Linked DNA regions of Arabidopsis thaliana. The protein of the gene in region 1 interacts with the protein of each later gene in a pairwise test. Each region holds a gene or a part of one and is shown on either strand. Other genes may lie near its edges.

Evidence for each region. Proteins that work in one complex are often made in the same cells at the same time.
Region 2: the proteins of AT2G37020 (region 1) and CB5LP interact in a two-hybrid assay, tested with the Arabidopsis thaliana proteins (one large-scale study listed by BioGRID).
Region 3: the proteins of AT2G37020 (region 1) and GDC1 interact in a two-hybrid assay, tested with the Arabidopsis thaliana proteins (one large-scale study listed by BioGRID).

What each region holds. Positions count from the first base shown.
Region 1 is NC_003071.7:15,542,740-15,551,779, reverse strand, and holds AT2G37020 (Translin family protein), read right to left. Parts: upstream 5,367-9,040; 5' UTR 5,270-5,366; coding exon 4,873-5,269; intron 4,639-4,872; coding exon 4,542-4,638; intron 4,466-4,541; coding exon 4,350-4,465; intron 3,645-4,349; coding exon 3,600-3,644; intron 3,465-3,599; coding exon 3,439-3,464; coding exon of another isoform or gene 3,391-3,438; exon of another isoform or gene 3,321-3,390; coding exon 3,185-3,320; intron 3,101-3,184; coding exon 2,988-3,100; 3' UTR 2,743-2,987; downstream 1-2,742. Other genes in the region: TRFL8 (TRF-like 8), read right to left, coding at 74-130, 211-441, 521-611, 701-983, 1,065-1,155, 1,239-1,291, 1,387-1,573, 1,670-1,738; NAP12 (non-intrinsic ABC protein 12), read right to left, coding at 5,621-5,777, 5,865-5,998, 6,090-6,379, 6,482-6,630, 6,712-7,176, 7,262-7,564, 7,696-8,543, 8,620-8,693 and 2 more.
Region 2 is NC_003070.9:22,341,790-22,346,953, reverse strand, and holds CB5LP (cytochrome B5-like protein), read left to right. Parts: upstream 1-3,684; 5' UTR 3,685-3,999; coding exon 4,000-4,365; 3' UTR 4,366-4,664; downstream 4,665-5,164. Other genes in the region: AT1G60670 (hypothetical protein (DUF3755)), read right to left, coding at 141-237, 353-414, 615-697, 1,031-1,136, 1,299-1,355, 2,220-2,319, 2,653-2,855; AtRZ-1b (RNA-binding (RRM/RBD/RNP motifs) family protein with retrovirus zinc finger-like domain-containing protein), read right to left, coding at 4,806-5,049, 5,140-5,164.
Region 3 is NC_003070.9:18,862,561-18,867,704, reverse strand, and holds GDC1 (Ankyrin repeat family protein), read right to left. Parts: upstream 1,509-5,144; 5' UTR 1,434-1,508; coding exon 1,164-1,433; exon of another isoform or gene 949-1,163; coding exon 691-948; 3' UTR 623-690; downstream 1-622. Other genes in the region: AT1G50910 (uncharacterized protein), read left to right, coding at 1-62, 246-622; AT1G50890 (ARM repeat superfamily protein), read left to right, coding at 1,953-2,666, 2,896-3,087, 3,581-4,240, 4,322-4,427, 4,528-5,123. UniProt on the Arabidopsis thaliana protein: Involved in the import of light-harvesting complex proteins (LHCP) and subsequent routing of these proteins to the chloroplast signal recognition particle (SRP) pathway.

The sequences.
Region 1 (9,040 bases):
TCTCAAACTTTGTGTTACAGAGGATTTCTCAGAATATGAATTTTTGTTGACAAAGGAAGAGAAAAAAGCAAACCTGTCCATCGTTATGCTTTTCGTTATAACTTGCTTTCAGTAGATTACGCCATTTGTCCTGCATTGAGGAGAAGAACTGAGTCACCAATCACTACTAAATGAAGAGCTTGCTTTTGAGGTGAATGAATGATGAAATACTCTGATATCAACGGGTTTGCGGTGTGCTGCATAATGAAAGAAGTGGTTCTTTATATCGGTCCATTTCCCAACACCAAAGTGAGAAATACCATCAACCAAATTCATTACTTCATCAAGAGTCCATATCCTCTGATTCTTTCTCCTGTCACTTTTGGTTCTGGATGTCTTTGTTACAGAAATGTCATCTTCACTCTCAGATAAAGTAAGCTGATCATCAGAAAATGTTTTCTCCTGCAATAGCAGATGGTATTTGGTTTACATAGATTATAAAAAATGGGAAAACTCTATAGTCTTAGAGAGTAAGACAAACCATTGAAGTGTGAATGTATTTCTTCATAGGTCCTTTCCGGGGCCTGAAGTCATAGGACTCGCAAGACTTTCTTTCACGAGAAGAATCTAATCTGTAACATTATACAAGAGAGCTTCACTAGGAAATCTGAAGCCAGTGGGATTATATATTCAGAATAAGACTTTAGTCACCGATGATTACCTACTACAAGCGGTGTTGAGCAATTTCTGTTTCCGATTCTTTCGTTTAATCCAAGAGCCTATAAATGTGGATAGTGGTTTCTTGTCATCTTCTGACTCATTTGTATCCCAACTATCTTTAACTTTTTCGCTGGATACAATCTGGGATTCAGCATATGGAACAGTTTCTTTTGACCACTCCGCGAGTCCGATGCTTCCACTAATTCCAGGAGAATAAGATTCTGAACTGAAGTTCATAAGACCATAGGGGTCACCCTCTAATTCATTCTTCTTGACTTCAGTTTCTGCAAGTAAATGATTGAATGGATTGTGAACCGTATAGATTGCTCAGTTGCACCAGGATGATAGAATCACAAAAATTTTACCTGGAGGGAAATGGTTAACAATAGAAGAAAGCTCATGTGATGCGTAGATATCTTCCACTTCATCAACTCCATCCAGAATTCCATCAAGAATCTACGAGATGACGAAGAAACTTTATTTCACGAATGACCAAGAAAAAAAAACCATGTAAAGGAGTGCATAAAGAGAACACATACTTCAAACTTTAAACCTGCTTCCACATCTTGAGTGCTAAAAGTGTTAACTCCACCTTAGAAAAAATGAAAGAGAACTCTAACATTAACCATACTCCCATTTACAATGTTACAAAGCCATTCAGCATAAAGAGCATTTGAATCGACTTACCATAATCTGGGAGAAAGCTAACGTCAAATCCATGTGAAAACTCCTCCATCTTGGAGGTTAAGCCCATATTCTCCATACCAAGACCTAAGAAACTGTCCACCGCGGTATTATCATGATGAGGATCCATTAGGAAATGCTTCATGTCACTCATTTTATCCTCCATTGAATGGCCAAGATTCTCATCAACCTATAAAGAAAATATATAAAAGTCATGTAATAAATTCATCATCCAAATGTAGAAAACCAAGAAACACACAAGTGATGAAGAAGAAGATGTTCTCACACTGGCAGATTTGAATCCAGCAAAAGTATCAGGAAAACCGGGTGTTGTTTCCATCCCAAAAGGTCCCATTTCAAGTCAAGGTCCAAGTTTTTACACTGCAAAGAACCAAGTATATGTCACAATAATTGAACAGAACCGGACAATGTTGCCCATAAACCAATCTAACTTACATGCTACATTCACGAAACTAGATCTCATTTCTCTCTATATATGCATGTTATCCCAATCCATTAGATTCATCCATGTTTTTTAAGCACTAATAAACAAATTCACAACATGAAACATGTTCTCTCCAAATTAAAAAACATTAATTTGCCTCAAATCTAGTGAAAATATATAAATAAGTAATATAAGATTTACTTAAGAACAGAGGACAGACATTCTATGCAATTACAGTATAAAGAAACAGAGTAGCCAGACAAATTTCTGTCGGATGATCTCAGTCTCATTGACAGAATAGATAAACACAAATAAAGAAAAATCAAAACTCTCAGCAGCTACAGAAGCGTCAATGTTTTAAATGTTTATCACAACATTCAAAATGCAAATGCAATATAGAAAAAAAAAAAAAAACATAAAAGAAATATACGTATAATGTGGGCCATAGAGACGACTCACAGCTGTTACATTAGAAAATAATAATAAAAATATAACTTTCCAGGGAAGAAAAAAAAGAAAAGAAAAGAAAATCCAGCTGCTTAGCTTATCCCCTTCCTTTAACTAAACACCTGCAATTTGAAGAAACTAACAATCCGAGAAAAAATCGAACGATATCATACATTACATTTGTGTTGGAAAAGAGATCGTTCAAGTTCAAGAGAGAATCTAACACAATGTCAGCGAAAAGAATAGTACTCGAAGCTAAGAAAAAAGATACCAAAGAGAGACGACGAGAGGAGACGAAGAACACTGACGCAGGAGGGGAAATGGCGACTGTTAGACTTGGATTTTGTTTTTTTGTCTTTGTTTCGGATTCCAAAAGCTGATTTATTTAGTTTTGAAATCCAAAATGACGTAAGACACCGTCAAATATAACGTGCGTTTCAAGTCCGCAACGATGGACAGGTGGAGTTCATGAACATCTACTGTTATACTATTAAGCTGCTGACTTCGGATAACAGTAAAGTTGTGACTAAAATGTGGGCTTTCAAGGCCCACAAAAGGAATACTTGCCGTTTTCAGTAATTGCAAACTACACCTAAAAACTACAGTCTCTCTATTTTCCTTGCCGTTTTTGGTTTAGAGAAGAACACTCCTTGACGTTTTCATGCTAGCTAAACAAAGTTATACATAAAAACTTAAAAAGAGCCGAGGACATTTAGGATTGGCCTTGGACTGCTTGGACGCCAGGAGGATCTCCGCCGGAAATCAAACCTCGGATCTTGACATCATAGTAAACTTCTTCCACTCTTCTTAGGTCGTACTTCATACCTGTCACATGTCAAAATCGATTTTTTTTTTATGTAACCATCGCAAATGGAGAAAGAAGAGCAGTTAGAGATATGTATGACTTACTGTCGAATTTCTTGCGCAGGAAATCGTTCCTGAGATTGAGCATGCGAAAGGCTGCATGAAGATCTGTCAGGAAATTCATCACCTTTCTTGGGCAGTCATAGTCTCCTGCTGTCACTCGATTAACCACGTACCTAGGCTGCTCAAACATTGCATCACCCATTTGCATTTATCCAAAGGTTTTTCATAAGTTGCTATCAAGTAGGATGCTAAGGGGGAAGATGGAAAGTAAGATTTAGGGATAAAAATGATCTTACCAAATCGTTTGACATGAAACAAATTCCTGCAAAGTATTCAAAAAGCTGAAGATCAGAGAATATAAAAGCAATGTTGCGATTCATAAAATGCTCGTAAGGCATATTTGATCTATAGATATTGGCCTTCCAGAGCAAATATGGGTTCTTTCTCAGAAACTTACCAGTGAGATAATCTTCTGTCTCCAATCCAAACTCCAAACTGTTCACTGAAGTACAATGAAGTGGAATTAGAAGAGCCATAATGGCAGATGAATTGACCAACACCTTGTTCTGTTTATTTTACTCAAAGACAATTGATTTGACAAGATAACAAAACCCAGATTTGAAACAAAACGACACTTGGGCAAATATCTATTCTACACCAACGTAATGAAAAACCAACCTTCCAATTATCATCCATCCATCCTAAGGGAGAATAACTGAGTTCATGGGAAACGGCAACTAATAACTCTATTGAGGTGAAAAAATCAAATCTTAGCTAAATGGTTGACACTACAGTGGATAAAATGCAGACTGAAACAAAGCCTAAGGACAAAATCAATAACAACGAGCAAGAAAAGGTAGACTAATTAACATACTGATAAGAGAAGAAGACTAGTGGCAAACTGAATCTGATTATTGAGAAAAGTAGAAAACTCGTTCATTTAGTTTTTCCAACTGAGACAGGTCAGGCAAAAGGAGGGTCACAGGATAACACGTATAGTATGTTGGAGTCATGAACGGATTTCAAATTGATTGCCTACTGCCAGCTCAGTTGTTACCTATTGTGGGAAGGAAGTTTCTATACAAAAGTTTGTGAGAGAACTAGCAAAACAAAATAAGGTTTTATTTATAGTGCAACCACTAGGCCATGATATGTATTTCAGTATTTGGAAGTAAGGAAAATAGTAAATTGAGATCCAGAGACATACACCCAAGTTTTTCTTCAGCTTCGGTATGCACGAGAAGAGTTCCAGTTTCTAGCCAGTGCATAAAAGCAAGCTGGGAGACCACTGCCTGTGTTTCACTTCTCCAGTCTCCATGGTACCTACATTACAAAAACCTTTTAACAAAAAACCATTGCAAATAAAGAAAATCTAACTACACATAGCTTTCAAACTTACCTATAGTATTGTCCAGGACACTCCTCAAGAATTTCAGCAAGCCGACCATAATACTGCTTCAAATCAACGATTTTTTCCTTAGCTTTCTCGATAACCTCTGATCCATCAACAAAACGAGCAATCTATATTAGTAACAACCAAACACTTCCAATGAATTTCTTAAAAGAACAAAGGCTATGTGTAATTCAATATTCATTCTTTTCTCAACAAGTTCTTCATTTTTAGTTACTTCCCTTCATAGAGAACTTCATCACCAAGTTCTGAACCCATCAAGCCATTTCAAACATTTAGCTAAAAGATGCAATTTTTAACCTAAAGACTAATCATTTACCAGGAATAGGACGCGATTGATGAACGAGAAGAAGATTAGCTTGAATAAGCCTAGTAGCAGACTCAATCTCCATAACCACAGCACGAATCTGCTCTCTCAAAGCTGCAGATTCTTCCAATTGAACACGGAAACTCTCGAACTGCTTCTCAAGCGAATGAGACACCTGACCATCTCCTCCCGCCATAGGAATGTAGAAAGAAGAAAAGGAAGAAGTCGAACAGAAGGGAAAGGAAGATGAAGGAGACACCGAGTTTCTATGCCGGAGAGGATTGGAACGGCGAGGAGAAGCGTCGCCGGAACAGAGAGGAAGAAAATGGAGAATCGAAGAAGAAAAGGGCTTAGGGTTTATCAAACGAGACGCAGTGATGTGAACGTTTCGAAACGCCGAATTCATCATCGTGTCGTGTTTTTTAGTTACGCCGCTTCCCTATTCTCTTTCCGACATCATCTTAGTAACCAATTAAACCGGATCATATAAACCAAAGAATCGTAACTGAAAATAAACCGATTTCTTTGTATATCATTCTCTGTATGACTCTATCTTACCAAAACCGGTTACCATATAAAGAAAGAAAAAGCATGATGAATAATCACCATTATCTACAAATAAAAATTACAAAATTGGAATTCTAAAATCCCTTCTTCTCTAATTCTATAAACTACTTATATAACTCATTTAATATTTAACGTATGAAAAATAGAAGAATTTTACAAAATGTAAGCTTTTTAATCATGTGTAATTATTAGATTATTTCTTCTGGAATGTAACCATGCAGAAATAAGCTATGAATCGGCATATTAGTCCCATGAGAACGAGAACAATGAGACACAATATCCAATCACTAAGATCATATCCGTTTTGAGACAATGAACTGCATCTAGTCACCACCCACACTCCAGAGTACCTAACCCAAAAAAAAGAGTCCAAAATCAAATTTTCTGAATTAAGATTTGATTATGTGTTAGAAGAATTAAATCTTCAAACTTTCTACCTTTGAGCATTGGAAAGGACAAAGGCTTCGAGAGTCCATTTGGGGTAGCAAAAGCTTCCGAGATACTTAAGGACCATGCTTTCTTTATCTTGATTAGCGATAAGAGTCATAACAACGGGGACTAACACCGACAACTGCAAGAACATAACAGCAAATTCAGGTACCATATGGTTAGTGAAAATTTTGGTTCCTTCATATATGAATTATGAGAAAGTGAGGACAAACCAATTGTGCGGCGCTAGGACTGTACAATATGGCAAAAATGTAAGCCATGCCTGTTACACAGTAGACCAAGCATACTAGTACAATGTAGTTGTCTTCGAAACTAGATCTCGGGTTGTTGAAGAAGTAGAACATGGACAAGTACACTAAAGGTTTCATAATTGTGTTTAAATGGTCCATTGTGTCTTTAGCCATAAAATGTGCCAAACTGCTAATTCCAGCGGCACTTTCTCTCCAATATTGTAATTTATCTACAGAGAATGATCTCAATGCCGAGATCTTACACAAAAGAGCTACAAAAAAAGAAAGACATACAGAAAAGAGCTTAGTTAACGTTCCAAAAATCGCGAATACTAGTAAATGTAAATTAATATTTGTGTACGTAAGAAACTTACAGACAGCTATTATGGTGTATGTGTAGCCAAGTGTATCGATTGTCTCGTCGTTCACCTTCGCAAGAGTTCCTAAACAAGCTCCCGCAACTAATAATATTAGGAAATCTAACGCTTGTAGTCTTGCTTCTCTAAGCCGTTGTTTTCCAACCCTGAAATAGATAGACTAAAGTTTTAATGTACATATGAAATTAACCACAAAATTCCATCTATCAAATCTAGAAAAATCATACCTTCCAACAAAATATCTATATTGTCGACCTACGGTAGGAGTTACTCGATTAGAATTGTCATGAGAATTCGAGTAATTGTGTTGTAACTGATCTTTTGTAATCTCCACATTAGTTTTCACATCTTGCCATAGATCATTACTAAAAGAATTATGAGTGGAATCCTCTTGAGCTGATCCAGTTGACGAGGAAGGAAGTCCATCACAAAATTTCAACATATCGTGAGGCACAGGGTAACCATTGTGCAGCATCCATCTCACAGGAAGTTGTTCTATAGTTATATCACCATCTGGTTTCACAATGCCTTCAAGAATATCTATATAATGATCAGGAGGATTGACACGATCGGGAACCGTGATTCCGATATCAGCAAAATATTCTTCTATTTTTTTGACTGATCCATGGTACACGGTAAGACCACCTTTTGCTAGTATTATCATGTCATCGAACATTTTGTACATTGTATAACTAATAAGAGGAAAAAACCAATTATTAAGCAAAAAGTATTTCTTAACATAAAATTGTAACATAATTCATGGAGGAGATAACATACCTGGGTTGATGGACGACCATACAAATGTTAACACCTTCAAGTGCTTCACGTCGAAGTGCTCTAAGAAGTAATTGTGAAGATGCACTATCTAAACCTGTAGTGGGTTCATCTAATATCAATAGAGAAGGTTCCATGACCATTTCAACACCAACGTTCACACGTTTTCTTTGTCCTCCAGAGATTCCTCTTTTTTCTATCGTACCAACCAACGAGTCTCTTACATGTTGTAATCCTAAGCTTTCAATCACTCTTTCAATGATCAAAACTTTGTCTGCTTTTGACATATAAGCACTTAATCTGCATGTAAAGAAACATATATAAATAAATGATATGCAACATTTTTTTGAAGCATAAACACTATGTAATAAAAATGTATTTTTTTAAGAATTGGACTCTCAATCTCCTCTATGATATGAGAATAAATTTACCTGCATCTTGCGCTAAATCGAAGGTTCTCTTCGACGGTAAGATTGCCATGCACAACATCATCTTGTGGCACAAATCCAGTGATCTTCTTATACGAGTTTATAGAGTCATTTCTACCATTTATAAGGATTAGACCCGTCCTCGTACATCCAGTTGCTTTTCCTGCCAAGGCAGAAAGAAATGTAGTTTTTCCAGCTCCTGATGGACCCATGACCGCAGAAACACGACCTGGCATGATCTTTCCGGTGACAGATCTCAATATATGCTTATGTTTACCCTTCAATGTAAGAGTTAGATCCTTAAACGCGACTTCTATAACAGGTCTAGTCCTCATCTCAGTGTCAGTAGCCATTGAAATAACTCCCGAGAATGTCAAGTTCTTGTTGTTTTGTTCCATAGCTTTCTCCTTCTCAATCTGACCATATGCATACTTAAAAATCTGGCTTTGGGTATGTAGTTGTTTACCCTTTGGAGCTTGTGGCTTCTTCCCAGGTTTACTACCGGTTCCTACATTGAATCCTTCGTTGTTACTCGGGTTCTCCTCCATTGATTTCATCATCTTGGTTAAATTACTCGGTTCTTTTTTCTTGTCTTTTGACTTTCCCGATGCTTTAACTGGTGTGGCATCCTTTCTAGCAGATTTCATGCGAGAAAATGTTTGAGATAGTTGTGCAGACAATCCCATCTTTTGGTTCTTGGCAACACCTTTTGCGGTTTTCCACCTTTCTCGAGCTTGTGTTGTTTCTTTTGCATGTCTCGCTGCAGCTTCTCTCGACTTTGCTTGTCTTTTTTCTCGAGTGGCGAGAACTTGATCAGAACAGTTATAAACCATGATCATGAGAAGACTTAGTGATGCCTATATATACAATAACGAAAATATAATTTCCAACAAATTTTAAAGCAAAATGTATTCTAATTAACTAACAACTTACAATTAAGATCGCTCCATAGGCATGAATATTTTGGTTTGCGGTATTCGGATTGCATGTTGCGAGCTTAAAACATGCTAAAACGGTCACCAAAAAGAGAATTAATGAATGATAATGATATTATAAAACAATTCATTTTCTTAGGTTTTAGTGTTTTAGAAACTTACGTTTCTGTGACGTAGAACCTTGTCTGCAGTAATGTCTAAGTAATACATAAAAACATTAATTACATCCTTAATGATGAATATTTCATATATGAAACAAATTTTCAAAAAGTAACAAGAGTTGTGAGATAAAAGAATCAATACCCACTACTACAAGTGACTTTTCGAATCGTTGTTGGGCAATATGAACCTGGTGAACAAAACATATCACCACTACTCTCAGCATCAACCCAACTATCTGCAGAACCACATGTATGATT
Region 2 (5,164 bases), on another chromosome or scaffold:
TTATGGAAGTCCTATGATTTGAAGCGATTAGACATTTTTTCATGAAACAGAGGCAAATTTGGTAAGGGAAGCATTTGAGGTTTTTAATCCCTTACATATTCAGGAATATCCACGTTCAGAGAAAATGCAAGATTGCTTACCTGTGTGGCACTTGTCACTAAACTGCTTGCAAGATCATTGTTAATTGAGACAGGCAGAGGCGGCATCCGGCTGATGATCCCAGGCATCTCCTTCATGCTGCAGTAATAATAAGTAAAGAGTATAGTAAATCAAGCTTTCATAGACGAGAAGGTGAAGGACAACAGAGGAAATGTATCATTAGTGATTCAACCATGCTATTAGATCCACATACTCATTCAAGATGGCACTGATGTTATTTCTTGCCATATAAAACAGACTGACGTTATCCTGTGGCTGTATGCAGAAAATAGGATGTCAGGATGGGAATTCCATTACGAAAGGACAACAGCATGTATCCCAACCAAACAATAAGTTGCATTGAATAAAACATTGTGCATGTGAAAAATACATTCTACGATCTTTTTAAAGTCAATTTTCTGCTAATGCAATCTTTTTCTACCAGCTAGCATTTGGATCAGATACAAATCAATTACCTTGCACACAGAAAGGTTTGAGGAGATTTGACTGAAAGCTTGAGCATTCTGCCGTAGACGCTCCATAACCGCATCACTTAGACCTAGGAGAATAAAAGTTTGGAAAATATATATGAGACCGTAAAAATGTGACAGGTGAGAAAAAGGTATCAAGCTAACAAGATTGAGTTTTCTTGGCACAACTAAGGAGATGAGACAATAACTGAGAGAGTCCAGGAACTCTCCAACATCGATAATGCCTATATTCAGGCATGAACAAGATGAACAACAAATTGCCTAGTACATTTGATTGAGATTTCAAACAAGATGCAGTTTGTCTTTCTAAAATAATCTTTCTTTACAGTTACAACCTTTGCAGGAGAGGGAAGGAAATAATACCGACAATACTGTTACGGTGTTACCCAAATAGTACTAACCTTCAAAAGGCATGCGTGCACTCTGGCACATATGGTTCATGGCATATGTAGCATTTTGTTGTGGCTCAGTTGAGAACATGTTCAGTTTTGGGGGTAAATCCACTACCTAAATCAAGGAGAAATCAGTTACTTGTGTGTTGGGTATCTCAAGGAGAACAAATTTGTAGCTGTTTTGAACAAAAAACCATTTGTAGCCAATAACCTCTTGTAAAGCGAACTATAACCTAGGCCACCAACCGTTATCTGGTTATTTACTAACATTACATACCTTTCTATAACTAACCTTCGTGCCAGTACTATGTTCTTCCCCTTTTCTTCGCTTTTGCTGAAAAAAAGGATTTCAATCTTAGCCCAGACAAACTCAAAAGTCATGAATTTAAATAGTTGAAAGATATTAGATAGCAAACTGGCAGTTATTATTAATGTTAAAAAGGCCCCGTGTCAAGACTTATGTTTGTATGAGTCATATATCTGCTTGTACAACTCAAGTCATAAAAAATCTATCTATTTCTTCAGCCCAACTTCATAAAAAAAATATGACAGGATAGATAGTATGGATAAGCCAATAAGGTAATATTTGGCACTATAATCTGTCAACTTTTTTCCCCCATTTATTATATGAATCTTAACACTACAGTGTAGGCCATACTGCAGAGGATATAACCAATGTTTAACCATCGCTCATAGAAATCTTATCCTTCATAAAAAGTAACATATCAAAATAAACTTCAGAAAGTCGAAAAAAGCCCAAGGCTATCTGACATCACTCGTTTGGCGATATTAGTTTCAGGGTAACTACAGAAATCAAATCAAGCTTTAGGGTCAAATCAAGTTCCAACATGACTCCAGAGCTAACAGAAAGCCAGATCTATCGTCAGCAATACTTGTTATTACTCTCCTTGCACACTCTTAACCATACTTTAAACAACCTTTATGATATGGTAAGGTGTCTTTTCATCAATATAGCAATAGAACTTTAAGCCTACCTTATAGCCAAAAAAATATAAAAGAACTTTTCCCATAGGACTTTATCTTTAACAAAGCATACACCCAAAGTAGCGTCACTATGTTTTTCCTCCTTTTTTCATCTCCCAAGCTAAATGACGTTACCAAGATCTCTTTGAATAACAACTAATAAGAAGTCTGCAAGCCACTTATGAAACTTAATGACAATGCATTGGGAACTTACCGTCATCCATTTACATCTCATTGCTACATCCCGTACACTTTTATCTGGTAGAGTTGCTGCGATCTTTACATACTTTGTAACTTGTGGTTCATCTTTAAATCTACAAAAGACATGACAAAGGTTTTAGGCAAACAAAACAATAAAAGACAAACTCGAAACAACATAAAACAGCGCAAGGTAAGAAACTAACACAGAGAAAAACTCAGCCATCTTTCGTAGAAATTTTCTGATACAAAATACATCTATAAGAATCTGAATCAGCTTATGATTCCAGATAACAACACGAGCTATAACAGTTCATATGAAACATAAATGCAAAACCTTTTCCTTCATCTACATATAAAAATTTATCTACTCTAACATTGTATAATAGCTACGAAGTGAGAAAATTTGCAGAGAACGAAGAACAATGGAGAATAACAAAAATACTTACTTTGAAAGACCTTTCTCCAATATATATTGTTCCTCAACAGACCAATCAACAGCCAAAGAAGCTTCATGTTTGAGTCCAGTAACCGAAGTCGGAGAATTTACAGTAAGATGAAATCCAGAAGAAGCATTCATGCTCGAAGTCGCCGAAAACACTAAACCGGTCGTGCTAGTACTCGGTACGCAATAATTATCCATCGGAATCATCACTCAAAAGCTATTTCGTAGAGATTAAGTTGACCTACAACGAAGCACGCCCAAAAACATGTTCAATTTAGGGTTTTAGCAATTTCAGAATCATACGGAAAAAAATCCGATTAAAACCCAACAGAAACCTAAAAGAGCAAAACCTGAGCAAAACCCACCTCGGATTTAGCCAAAATAGAAGATGAGTATGCTTCTCCGTAGCTCGATAGATGGCGTCGATGCAAAAACCCTAAACCCCCAACGATTGGTGATGAAAGTAGAGATACTGAAATCGTGAAGCTACAAAATTCAGAGAGATCGCAATAGAGAAGAAGAAGATTGAAGAATCGTGATTCGATTCGCGAGAGAGTGGTGACAGCAAGATGATGCGAAGAACTTTCGAATTGCAGAAGCTGGCGAGGAGAGAGAGAGAGAAAATGGTGGTTTTGTTTTGTAATGGTTTTTATTCTATTAAGAAACAGAACCACTTTTTATTCCATTGTGGTGGTTTTGCTTTTTTGTTTTTGTCTAGTCCACTCTTTGAAGAAAGATGGTTTGTTCCTCCTTATTTTTTTAAACTTTTACTCAATTTTTGTGAATTACACAGTCACCTACACTTTGGAAATTCAGATATTTAAATTACAACAAGGTATTATAAATCATAAAGTTTGGTATCCATTTCACTAAGTGACATTTGTTTTTTTTGTTTTTTTTTACATGTCTTATGTGAGTTATGAATAATTAAATTTGTTTCAAACTTTTACATGTGTAATTTTATGATAAATCTTTTATTTACTTATATACCTAAATAATCAAGTTGAATTTGTGCATAGACAAAAATGAGACATCAAATTAGTTAATCGATAATAGTAGGATTCGCCGGGGAGAAGGAGAAAAAAAATTAGATGCATGGGTCTCAGGTTCGAGTAATAACCAAAATAACTACAACTTCATTTTTGCATAGACGTGGAGATGCTTTTTGGTTAGAAACCTCGACAACCACTAACGAAGATGAGGACAATGAAAACGTTGTGTTTTGACTTTTATGCCCCTCTAAACCCTAAATTCAATAATTTGGGTCGTCACTCGTCAGCAAGCTGGATCTAATCCACCACTCTCTCCAATTGTCATTCACTCCGGTTTTGCTATTTCCAAGGAGAGAAAGATGATAGCTGTGATCGGATTGCTTCTGGGTTTTCTAGTATCAGCATTGTTCTTAATCCAAGGAAAGCGAAGAAGAACAAACGACAATCAAGAGAAGAAGAGATCTAGCAGTGAGCCTGTAGAAGATGTGGTAAGACCAAAAAGTTACAGCAAGAGTGAAGTCGCAGTACATAACAAAAGGAACGATTGTTGGATCATAATCAAAGATAAAGTCTATGATATTACTTCTTATGTTGAAGAACATCCTGGTGGTGACGCTATTCTTGATCATGCTGGTGATGATTCTACTGATGGCTTCTTCGGACCTCAACACGCCACTCGTGTTTTCGACATGATTGAAGATTTCTACATCGGGGAACTTCATTAGTAAAAGCTTAAAGATTTGAGATTTGATTGAAGATTTGAGATTTCTTCTTAAGTAAGCTTAAAGATGGCTTTTTTAATTCTCTTCTCATTGAAGATTTGAGATTGCATTACCTTTTTGTCTTGCTAGTGTAACACTTCTTCTTCCATTGTATTGCCAAAGTTTCCTCCTTTCTCTTAATTTTCATGGTGAAGCTATGCTCTGTTTCAAGTGTTCTATGCTTAACTCTGTCTCAAGTGTTTTAAATCCATCAATTTTGAGTTTAATCTATTGAATTGCTTTATGGGAATCAATAGGATCATAAGAACATAACTTTTTTACTGCGATGAAGAATCATAATATTCGACAAAAAAGCATAACAGAGATCTCGAGTTCGAGTTCTATCTCTGATATAGACCTAAATCCCAAAGCATAAGCATTGACATCTGGTTAACCAAAACAAACTACCAACGTTCATATGATGAAGGTCTGCCTCCAGGACGGCTAGGACGGTCATAAGGACCTGGTCTGCTTCTGTAGGGTCTTCCCTCATCGCGTATCGGTCCCATATCTCCATATCTGTCACTTGTATCCCTTGCGTATCTGTCCCTGTCATAGCTTCTCTCTCTCCCGCGATATTCATTCTCAAGATGATGTTCAGGCATCCCATACCTATCACTCACAAAACGGTCTCCTGGTGGTGCGTATCTACATTGTTAATACATCAAAAGGTCATGACTTTCCTAAAAGAACACATGTTGGAACATTTATTTAGACCTGAGGACAAGAGCTACAAACCTCTCAAATGGATAGTGATCACGAG
Region 3 (5,144 bases), on another chromosome or scaffold:
AGAAGATACTACAACTAAGGATTGTTCAATTCAGTATCAAACGTTTGTTTCTCCTCTTGGAGGTAAGAATCTCCACAGAATTACTGTATGGTGGTTTCACCTAAGTAGGCTTATATTCGTTTAGAACTGCAATGATTTTAGTGTTTTAGATGGGTCATAAGGTCTTAGCAATGCGATACATAAATTCTCTGTTTCGTACTTCACTGAAAGATTCATGCTTCTGATAGAAAATTGTCCAATTGCAGAAGATATCACACCTTCTCCTCTGCCTGATGCAGACGAAAACGGATATGATACTGCTACAGAGTCTTTGACTCCCATTGCTGAAGCAGCCTCTTCCAAGACTAACGATGAATCCCAAACAGAAGATATGGAAAAAGTAGAAGATGAATCTACAAATCCCGTGAGCTCGGCAAAAATTAACAGAGACACAGTAAAACCAAGATTCAGAGCAACCAAGGTAGCGTTTCTACCTGTAAAAAGACCTTCATCTGCAATAACGCCAAACACCATAGAACAACCCCCATTGAAGAAACAAGAAACTGGCGAGAAAGACAAAAAGGAAGAAGATGGATTTTATAATCTACTCATCCGCGGAACACAGAAAGACAGTTTGTTCTAGCAAACACAAACATTTCAAAACTCAAGAACATAACTTGTGTTGTTCCTGTGTATTAAAACCAAGCGGAGTCAAGCCTTTTGAGTCGAGTAGCCAAGGATCAAATCACGGATCTCTTCACTGTTGGCTCTGTCGATAGCGGTTCTTCCATCAGCGTCCTTGACCGAATAATCAGCACCGGCTTTGAGAAGCTCCTCGATCTTAGGTCTGTCACCTTCTGTAGCGGCTAACATCAACAAGATATCAACTGGGTGAATGTTTAGGTTAAGAAGAGCTTCCATCTTTGAATAGGTTCCTTCTACTGCAAGCATACCCATGTAGTTGAAATACTGCAAAAAACATCACGAACACATAAAATTTATATTTATGTATACATAAAAGTTATATTCAATGTAGCTCTATGTAATGCTTCTTCACATCTACAACTAAAGATTGCAATTCAAGTAGCAAACTTGACGATTTGATTCATCAGAATCCAACCTAAGCGTCTTCTGACTTCTTGGTCGAAACATAAATCAATCTGATTCTTAGTCAAGGGAAAAACCTGTTCGACGTCGTCTCTGTCGAAATCATCTCGAGACTGGCTGCCATAGATTCCGGCATTTTCAGCATCGACACCATTCTTGCCGAACTTGAACCAGCAAGTGGTTCTTGAACCATTGGAGGGTCCTAGTCTGGCAGGTCGGATCCGAAGCTTTAAGTTTCGGGTTCCGAGAAATCTAGAGGAGAGCAGCCTTGGGGAAGAAGAAGTGGTGGAGAAGAGTGAGGTGGCCAAAGAAGGTGCACAGGAGAATGAGATTGAAGAAGAAGCCATGGCTGTTCTCTTAATGCTTCCAACTAAAGCAAAACAGATTCAGTGGTTGTATTATCCACTCATTTTCTCCCTTCTATCTAAAAAAGACTATAAATCTTTTTATTTATTTTATCGATTAATTTTCACCGTTAGATTTCAGATACTGATTTTATTTCCTTTTTCTTTTGTGACAACCACGAAGAATCTATTTTTTCATTTTTTCTTAAAAAACAACAACGAAGCATGACATGGCAAAGACGTGGTCTCCACTCTCTCAAGACCCCAACAGAAAATTTCAGCATTGTCGCCGGAAAAAAACCAGACGTCTTCTTCTTCTTCCTTCTGACCTATTTCTTCTTCACATTCATCATCATCATCCAAACTCAACATTAGCTTTTATCGAATCTACCCTAAATCTCCTAAAACCAGCCATTTCAATGATTCACAAAGCTCTCTAACCCTCACTACTTAAAATCCCACCACCATCACCATCGTTTCCTCTATGTAGTCTTCCTTCATTTCTATCTCTACCAATTTCAAATGCGATCACAAACCGCTTCAAAAACTTCAATGAAACCTTCTTCAAATTCATCTGCGTTCTCCGTCAGATCCTCCGTCGCAGTTTCGTCTCACTCAGCAATGGTTGAATTGAAACAGAGAATCTTAACCTCTCTCTCTAGACTCGGTGATCGCGATACTTATCAGATAGCTGTAGATGATCTCGAGAAAATCGTCGTCTCCGTCCCCGATTCACCCGAAATCCTCCCCGTGCTTCTCCATTGTCTTTTCGATTCCTCCTCCGATCTTAAAGCTCCGGTCAAGAGAGAATCAATTCGTCTCCTCTCCTTTCTTTGCCTCTCTTACACCGATCTCTCCTTTTCACAATTAGCCAAAATCATCTCACACATCGTCAAGCGTCTCAAGGACGCCGATAACGGTGTACGCGACGCTTGTCGCGACGCGATTGGTTCTCTCTCTGCGCAGTTTCTGAAGGAGAAGGAAGTAGAGAATGGAAATTATGTTGGGTCTTCGTTGGTGGGGCTATTTGCTAAACCCTTGTTTGAAGCAATGGCGGAGCAGAACAAAAGCTTACAATCTGGTGCTGCCATTTGTATGGGGAAGATGATTGATTCAGCAACGGAGCCTCCTGTTGCAGCTTTTCAAAAACTGTGCCCTAGAATCTCCAAGCTTTTGAATAGCCCCAATTACATTACTAAGGCTTCACTCTTACCCGTTGTTGGAAGCTTGTCCCAGGTTTGTGCAATGTGGTACATTGCTTGAATTTTCAGCTGCATTTTGTTTGGCTTCGTCTCTAGTTTTGTGGCTACTTGTGTTTCTATGCTAAGAAGATTGGAATGGCATGTTTGTGTGAAGGGATATGCTTACTATTTTCACTATATATCTCTAGTCTGCTTGGTGGTCAAGTCAAATCTACTGGGTACTCTCTATGGATTACATATTTTGAGCTATGGAATTGTTGCAGGTTGGAGCTATTGCACCACAGAGCTTGGAATCATTGCTACACAGCATTCACGAGTGCCTTGGATGTACGAATTGGGTTACTCGTAAAGCAGCTGCTGATGTCTTAATCTCCTTGGCTGTCCATTCTAGTAGCTTGGTTGCAGACAAAACAGATTCCACTCTTACAGCTCTTGAGGCATGTCGTTTTGATAAGGTACTAATAGCTATGATATTTTCTTGAGATATTTCTGGTAGAGGAATCATTGGCTAATATCTATCCAAGGTTAGAAATAAGATTGATACCAAGAAAAGAAATGCAGATTACTCTTAATGGTTATTAAAACATTGCTATTTCCATTCTCTTTCCTTGTCTTCAGCACCTTATGTATACGCTGATCGTGATAGCTGTGTTATAATTTTCTGATCAACTAAACAGAGCCAAAGGTATATAAGCTAGATTGAAAATAAAAGCTTGGATAGCAGTGGCGGATATTTGTTATACACTGTGATTTTCGATGAGCTGAAAGAATTTGCTTAGGCATGTTTTGCTTTGCTAGCATGTAAAAACGATAATTTAGTTTGACTGAGTTATATCCATATCACCATTGCTTAAGAAGGGAACTGCTAGACTGGAATTACATTGTTAATTTTTCCGACATTGTTTTTGCATCATTCTGAAAAGTGGCTACATTTTCTTTGGGTTGCAGATAAAACCTGTTAGAGAAAGCTTGTCTGAAGCACTAAACGTCTGGAAGAACATTGCTGGAAAAGGTGAATCTGGAACAATGGATGACCAGAAGGATGTGTCATCTGAGCAATGTATATTGGAAAGGAATGGAGAAACTGATTCAGTTTCATGTGAGGAAGCAGGACTAGTGATGCAAGGCTCTTGTGATGGTTTGAGCAGTAGTTCAGATTCTATTTCAAAAGCAGTTCTCATTTTGAGAAAGAAGGCACCTCGGTTGACTGGCAAAGATCTTAACCCAGAGTTTTTTCAGAAACTGGAAAAAAGAGGTTCTGGTGATATGCCAGTTGAAGTTATTCTTCCTTCTAGGCAAAAGAATTCGTCGAACTCAAATACAGAGGATGAATCAGACGCCAATACTTCAGTATTAAGGAGTAGGTCAAATGGTTTGTGCAGAACTGCTGGTGTCCATACCAAACAAAGACATTTTGGAGATTTTGCAAGAGAAAAATGGGTTGATGAAAGAATGAACGGAGGCGAATCACGGTTGAGAGCATTTGATGGAGATCATACTGAAGTAATCCAGGCGGACACATCTGAAAACAGAGGGAACTGGCCACCATTACAGAGACAGTTATTGCACTTGGAGAGACAACAAACCCACATAATGAATATGTTGCAGGTACTGATCCGATTTCAAATAAATATAGGGATTCACTTTAAAAAGTTTCTCTATTAAAAGGTAGCATCCTTATCATTGCAGGATTTCATGGGTGGTTCACATGACGGCATGATAAGTTTGGAGAACCGTGTTAGAGGTCTTGAGAGGATTGTAGAAGAGATGTCTAGAGAAATGTCCATACAATCAGGTACGTATAACTGCATGACCTGCGCTGTTAAAACAATTCTACTTGTTGCATCCATTTGAAGAAAGATATTTATTATTTCGAAAACTGTAATTTGCTTCAGGTGCGAGAGGAAAGGCGACTGCATCATGGAGATCTGATGTAGATGGATGGGATAGTCCTAACTATGGACCTTCTTCTAGAAACACTCAGACCAGTACAAGAAAGATACGTGGCACTGGTCCTTCTGAGCAATCAGGTAACAGCAGAAGAGCTTGGGACAAAAGCTCTGTAGCAATTAGACTAGGTGAAGGACCTTCTGCTAGAAGCGTGTGGCAAGCATCAAAAGATGAAGCTACTCTTGAAGCAATACGTGTGGCTGGAGAAGACTGTGGAACATCAAGGAATAGGCGAGTATCTATTCCTGAAGCAGAAGCAATGATGGACGAAGATGATGATAACCGTGGGGGACAACAGGGAGACCCTATCTGGACTTGTTGGAGTAATTCGGTGCACGCACTTCGAGTTGGTGATACCGATTCTGCATTTGCTGAGGTATTATCTACTGGAGACGACCATTTACTTGTCAAGTTAATGGACAAAACCGGTCCTGTTCTTGATCAACTATCGAGTGATATGGGAAACGAGGCTATCCATTCTATTGCACAGTTTCTCCTGGATCATACTCTATATGATATCTGTCTATCTTGGATTCAACAGGTAAAACAAGATTCTTCTTTT